Linked DNA regions of Caenorhabditis elegans. The protein of the gene in region 2 interacts with the protein of the main gene of each other region in a biochemical or structural test. Each region holds a gene or a part of one and is shown on either strand. Other genes may lie near its edges. The genes, in order: frpr-16 and nlp-23.

The links.
Region 1: the proteins of nlp-23 (region 2) and frpr-16 interact in a test that uses a peptide from one of them, tested with the Caenorhabditis elegans proteins (one large-scale study listed by BioGRID).

What each region holds. Positions count from the first base shown.
Region 1 is NC_003280.10:6,028,931-6,033,061, forward strand, and holds frpr-16 (G-protein coupled receptors family 1 profile domain-containing protein), read right to left. Parts: upstream 2,277-4,131; 5' UTR 2,253-2,276; coding exon 2,130-2,252; intron 2,083-2,129; coding exon 1,991-2,082; intron 1,935-1,990; coding exon 1,778-1,934; intron 1,731-1,777; coding exon 1,627-1,730; intron 1,420-1,626; coding exon 1,104-1,419; intron 1,055-1,103; coding exon 930-1,054; intron 786-929; coding exon 680-785; 3' UTR 561-679; downstream 1-560.
Region 2 is NC_003284.9:2,341,675-2,344,728, forward strand, and holds nlp-23 (Neuropeptide-Like Protein), read right to left. Parts: upstream 1,286-3,054; 5' UTR 1,265-1,285; coding exon 1,190-1,264; intron 1,123-1,189; coding exon 784-1,122; 3' UTR 717-783; downstream 1-716. Other genes in the region: nlp-22 (Neuropeptide-Like Protein), read right to left, coding at 307-390; nlp-2 (Neuropeptide-Like Protein), read right to left, coding at 2,385-2,628, 2,683-2,864, 2,922-3,011.

The DNA.
Region 1 (4,131 bases), on a different chromosome or scaffold from region 2:
TTATGAGCAAGAATTGAGGAAAAAAGGATGAAGCACCTTTGAAGAGTGACGTCTTTTGTCGTTGTACTCTTCTTCCAATTGTGACAAATTGGCAATATTTGGAAAATGGCATTTCGTGGAATTTAGAATGAATTTTTTGTAAAAACGATGGTAATAGGGGGGCCTCATATATTCACAGTGGGTCTTCAAATTCTGACATTTGATAGGGTCTCAAAGAATTTTTTGTGTGGTTTTTTCTCAAAGAGGAGTAGGACGCAGAAAAGAAACAATAAAAATTTGGTTTTCGAAAAGAAAAACAGAACTACAGAAAAATTTTTAAAAATCATATTTCGAGAGTTCCCATAATTTGGAATCTGTTTAAATTACTTTCAGATCCTGCAAAATTTTTCAAATGCCTGGAGAGGTGCTTGCTGTTCACAAAATATCTTTTTCTGGTTTCTTGTAAATTCGGCCAAATTTTTTTCTATTTTTTTAATATTTCAGGCTGAGAATGTGAATTATTAGTTCTCAAAACTCTATTTTCATTTTCATTGGTATTATTTCAAGTTCATAATACAAACTGGAAATATGACAGATTCATTCACCCGTTTCATAATTGTTTGTTTGACAAAAACCGGGACCAGATATCTAAAACATAAAAAGAAAACAAGTATTCAAACAAATAAGAGTCTATTTCTAATTAAACAATTGCCGGAGCTTTTCTTGTTTTTGATTCAGAAACAGCTCCAGATGAGTTAACTGGCAAGTAGGTCGAGCATTTTACATCATCCAGCCTTTGGCGACATCTGAAAATAGTTGATAAATTGAATGAAATTCGAATTCTAAGATATTTGTCGAAATCCTCACTTCTTTTAATCCTCTTTTTTATAATTCACATTGCGAACGTGCAACTTTGAAGAAGTGAGGGTGAAGTTTATTTATTTAGTTACCTGATGATGTCATGGAATATTGTTCGAAATTTCTCCGAAAATCCGTAGTATATGAAGAAAGTGCTTGACGTATGGAAGATTATCAAAAAGATTGTGAACTCGGCGAACACTTCCCAGTAGAAACTCTGAAATTTATAAATTATTTATTCAATAGTTCAGGAGTTTACAACTTACGGTTTGTGTAAGGAATCCTCCAAAAATACTTTCAGCAACTTTGAGAAACATTGAGAATAGATGGCAGAACGCGAAGAAAATGGTTACCACTAGCAGCATTACAGTTGTTTTCTGATCTTTTCGCTTCTGAACGGCCAAGCCTGTGATAACCTCGTCGCTTTCTTGAAGTGCTCTGATGACATGATAATTGGCGATAGTCATGATAAGGAACGGAAGGAAGTAATCGAAGATTACTGATAATATGATGAAGTAGAACATGAAGTACCACCAGTGTTTCTCTGTATCCAACATCCACATTTCAGATAGATACCCGTCTCTGCAAATCAAATTTGAGATTAATAATCGAGCGTCGTAATAAATTTTCTCCTTAATTGTCCAAAAAACGTATCAGGTTAACAATTGTAATGAAAATTTTGTAAAACTACCCTGTGCGATTAGGTAGCACAGAGTTTAGCAACACAGAAATTAGGTGATAGACAGGCAGGTATGTTTTATGAAAAACTTTAAAATATTTAAAACTTACCCAATTTTATAATCGAAAAATCTTGGAAAATTAAACACTATGGAAAATATGATAATGAAAATTCCAGCTTTCATTGTATTCCTGTTTGTGCATAATACTTTTGCCTGAAAATATACAAATTTAAATTCAAGACTTAAAATTTAGAATTTACCTGAAGTGGTCTACATACAGCAATCCATCGTTCAATGGTTATAAGTACCATTAGATATAAACTACATGATTTTGTCATCATACATAATGGATAAACATATCGTGTACTGTAAGCAAAGAAGCTCATATGAAACGAATATTTTTGCCATTGGTCCTGCCTGAAATCTGATGTTTGATGTGAAAAACATTCCCGAGAGACTTTCAATAAACTCACCAGAGTGGCAGAAAAACAAGAACAAAAATGGGAGTTATCAGGATGAGCAGCAGAATGTCAATGAGTGAGAGAATAAGAAGAAGAGTGCCAACCTGAAAGAATTTTTTGAATTTTCTGTAAAACTTTGAAATTAGATTACTGTAGATTTTCTCATCGGCGCTGTTCGATAAACTAAAAATGATGCAAAGTTTCCAAGAAGTCCAATGAAAATTACAGGTAAATACATCCATGATTTTAGCTCGTAGAACTCGTACCGATTCATAATGTGTTCAAAAGTGTGAAGATTCTGTAAGAAAAGGAAGAAAGTTTGGGTGGGTGGAAACGGAAATGAAAGAAAAAACCGAAGAAAAAACGGATAGCGCTTTAGAAAATGGGCAGCTGAGGGAGGGGATAATTTATTTTATTCATGGATCCACAAGAGGTGTGAGTTGTGGAAAAAGGAGAAGAAGAAGGTGAAACTTTTTGTACTTAGAAGACGACCAGGAGACCAATAGAAAATTGAGCAGAATAAGGATTCAATTTGGAACAAAAAATGACGATGCATTGAATATTCAAACGACTGCACAAAAGTTCAGAATATTTTAGAAATTTGAAATACGGTATTTCAATAAAATAATGTTTTGAAATTATAATTTCAATTTTCTTTATGGAATATGTACGGGGGTGACTTTTATAAGGAAATTGGGAATGGAGAATTGATTTTAATAATCTAATAATTTGAAACTACGATAATTTGTTTATTCAATTCAATCATGACTCAGGTGGAAGTTTCGAATGATTTCACCATTGAAACTTTATTGAACTTTAGGGTTTTATATATACTTTACTCACATTCACTCTACATAATTTAGTACCAACTGAGCACAATGCAAACTTCCATTCGAAAACGTTTATCAAGAAACGGCATTTGTTAAGATTCATCGTTAATTTATTTACAGGCAGTCCAGTGAAATAACCTTTCATAATAGTTCTAGCCATAATTTTTTCAATGTGGTCTTAAAGTAACTATGTTATGCTTTTGTTCTACTCGAGTACCACTTAAGTGATGGGAGCTTAACACAGTTGCAAAAATTGTGAGAAATACAGAAAAGAGTTCCCGGAAGGAGAATTTATTTAGGTTTTTTCCGAAAAAATTGTATTTTATTGAAGCTTAACCTAACTCTTGAAATTGGTACAATAAGTCGTGTAAAACTAGCTCGTGTTGGGATCAAGAATCGTGTCAAAGAATCACTTCAAAAACACTGAAAATTTATTCGAAGAAAAAACATCGTAGAGTTTAATAGTTATATAGAAAATGCTTCTGGACAGCGGAATGTGTATTGAAAAAAGAGAAATAATGAGATCATAATTTGATTGAAAAGATTTATATATCCTGAACGTATGCCGTTCAGGGCTTATACAAATCTGTTGACATCAAACTATTGAATAGAATCAGGCGTGGAAAATGTTGATTCTCATAGAACTCAATGAGATAATTTGAACTTTTGAGCTCTCCACTAAAAGACGCATTGTTTTTTCTCTCACGGATCTTAGTGTTAGTTTTGACAGTTGAAATGTTTGAAAAAAGAGAGAAAAAAGACATGGAGGTTTCTGCTAAATACTTATTTTTCTTTTTTTGTGTCGTTTTCATTTTCAGCTCGTAAAAAGATAACACATGTGGCAACGAGGAAGAAAATTGATGAAGAAGAAGGGGAATGCAGTACATGAATCTTTCAAAAAGAAAAATTTGAACATTGACGTGTTTCCTGAAGTGAATGCGTTGGGGGAATTGTAGACGAGAAGAGCTGTCACATAAGGAAATATTGAGCAGGATTCCGAAAAGAGTTATCGGAAAAATGGGAAGGGTGGATTTAAAAATTGGTACGAAGTTTCTTGGAAATGGAGCAAAAAAGAAAATGCTTCAAAATACGAGGATTCTAGAAGGAAGGAAGATATAGTTGCACTTCAGAAAAAAAAAGTACAGGTGGAATTCAGATTACCGGAATCCTAACAATTTGATGAAAACGGATTAAATAAGAAACGTGAATGTTCTTCTGGTCCCGCTCATCCATCACCATATTGTTATTTGTTTATGTGGGAGAAGAGGTTTTTTGTGGGCGAGATGGAGTCAAAGTCGAGAAAAGATTAGATTTGTGCCCGGA
Region 2 (3,054 bases):
TTTTAATAAACTTTCGCGAAAGTTTTTCAATATTTTTTTGTGGCGGTTCAAAATTTTCGCATAAAAATGGCCTAATTCGGACGGAAATTGAAATTTTGTAACCTATTGGTTGCCTATCCGCTTGAAATTTTAAACTTAAAAAAACGATGTAAATGTGCAAATTGAGTCAATAATAAAAAAAAAAAATTTTTGGGGATTTAAGGCTAATTTACAAACAAACACATCTAGGTCTTTTTTCGAAAATTTGAACCGTCGTAAACACAATTTGATCGGTACCCTTTTCCTTTAACATTGTGTAAAGCTAACCTGAAGCCCAAGAGCTGAGGTCTGGACCAGAAGAATGTCCAACGCGAAGATCGTCAATCCGATGAAGACGATTATGGAACGCATTTCCGAGTTGGGAAAGTTCGAGAATAAAAAAGAATAAAAAACGGGGGTATAGTGAGCACAACTCGATCGGCCAGAATTTATATGCTTTTTGCTCTGTTACATCTAAGGCGGAGCAAAACGGTTAAACGACCGGAACCGGTGAATGTTTTTTTTGGAAAACGTTGCTCTCGGTTTTGTGAACTCATAAAGTAACATGCGAAAAATTGCACAAAAACTACTGCTTTACACCCACAATGATTTGTTCTCTGGAAACGTGGGTTTCAAATTAGAATGATAAAAGTTCCTTATTCTAGTGATCAGTGATGATTACTCATGTCTTTGCTATCATTTCATACAGATACTTTATTTGATTCACAAGTAAAAATTAATGTTTGTAGAAATTCCAAAAATTATTTACTCCGAGAAATCATTGCGGTAAAGAGGATAATAGCTCTCTGCAAATGGCATTGATCGCTTTCCGCGGTTCCATCCAGCTGCAAATGCACGCTTCCCTGGGCGCATTCCAGCTCTGCCAATTGCCATTGATCGCTTTGCTGGCCGGAATCCTTGACGACTGATATAAAGACGCTTCTCCATAGTTAGTGGCTCCGGTTCTTCATCGGCATAGATCTCATCTTCGTCGTTTGGGATAACAATCATAGGGGTCGCCAAGTCGACAGCATCATCTTGGTCTAGGTCATTAGAATCTAAAAGTTGGGATTCGTAGGAATCATCTTTAGACGTTGGATGTTCCTGAAATGTTCATTTGCTACAATTACATAAAATGATAAAATAAGTAGCTCAGTTCATATGAGCTCACCGAGTAAAAACCCAGCTCCAAAGCATGAGCTGAGACTCCAAGAAGTGCCATCCAAATGACGAGGTGAGCTGCCATTGACTTTGAAAGTGATATCAGGTGGGACTGAGGACATCCTTCTGCTCGTCTTTCTTTTTATAGCACCTATTAAGAAAACGTGGTCTTGTAGTCCGGAAAACTGACACTACGATATTTTGGAGGATCGGATTTTTACGAGTTTTTTAACGATTTCGTAAAGGGACTACACTTCTACAATAGAATACAACGACTATAGGTGTATCTAGGAACTAAAAACAATTTTTTTTGAGAAGTTTAGAAATTTGCTCATCTGAGCACATTTTGGGTACATACATTCAAAATTCCAATACCTCCTCATCAGTGATAAAAAGGTCAAATGCGGAAAAGCCTGGAAGAACTGCGGAAAAATTGCCACAGATTTGGGTTTTATAGGCGGCTAATTATAATTTAATTTTGGAATTGGACAATCTGATTTCCCTTCAAAATATTTTTTTTCTTAACAATTTACTGACGACGAGCTGAAGATGATACTATCCCACGTCACTGATGTTTTTCCAACTAGAAAAAAAAACGTTTCCATAATGAGCTGAACATCGATCAAAACAACAGGGTACCCCTCTGAGAATTTTTTAATTCAGCTTACACAAAAAAAAATTGCGAACCGGCATACATTTAGTACAGTTTTGAATAACAGTAGGCAGTGAGTTTTTGCATTTTTTGAATTTTTGAAAATTTTTGAAAAAAAAAAGGTTTCAATATTGTCAGTGCGATTACATATAGAATTTATTCAATTGTATGGAGACAATTTTTTGGAAGGCTAAAAGAAAAAGAGCAAATTTTAATCGGACCCATACGTGCCTTCAAACTTGGCACACTGGTAGTGGACACATGGCTCAACAAATTGATTTCAACAAAATTTTTTGAACTGACCTACATGTTATATTAGTAAATCTGACTTTATATTGCATAAAATCCCCGATCAAAATAGTTTGTGATTCATATTCACCCTGTCTGAAACTTCTTTCCGAACCATTACTCTCTGAAACTGGGCTCTAAAAAACTCTAAAAAACAGAACACGATTTCATTCCGGTAATCTGGCTGTGTTTGTACATAAAGTATCAGTGATGATGACGGTGAATATTACAAAGAGATCGATTCAAATTAGTCGGAGCAGGTTCTCTAGATTATATAGATTTCTGGAACGTGTTGTGGGAAGACCTCCTTCATGTCATTGCTTCTCTTTCCTGGCCGGAATCCTTGACGACCGTAGGCCATTGAGCGCTTTCCTGGCCGGAATCCTTGCCGTCCATATGCCATGGATCTCTTTCCCGGCCGGAATCCTTGTCTGCCGTAGGCCATTGAACGCTTGCCCGGACGCAGTCCCAATCTTCCCATTGCCATTGATCGTTTCATGATGAGATCACTGGAAAATCAGCAGGTTTTGTTTTGCACAAGCCAAACGAGGCTTCAAAGTTACCTAACATCCACAGTGTGAAAGTTGTCCATGCTCCGTTTTCCAGGGCGGAATCCGCTTCGTCCGAGAGCAATGCTTCGTTTGCCCATTGCTCCTTCAGTGAACTCTTCCTCTTGTTTCCATTCATCTTCATCTTCAGAGTCGTACAGTTCGGGAGAGTTCTCAAGGACAACCACATCGACAGCCTGAAAAACTTTCAAAGTAGAAACCAGTACAGATGCTACTGGCAAAGATCCACTAACCGATGATTCGTCAGGACGATAGACCTGAAGCGGAACTGCTTCAGAATAAACTGCGCAGAGCAAAGCAAAAAGCACGAGGGTTGCTCGCATTTCTCGCGTTGTTGGGAGCTGAGCGAGAATAAGTGAAACCGAA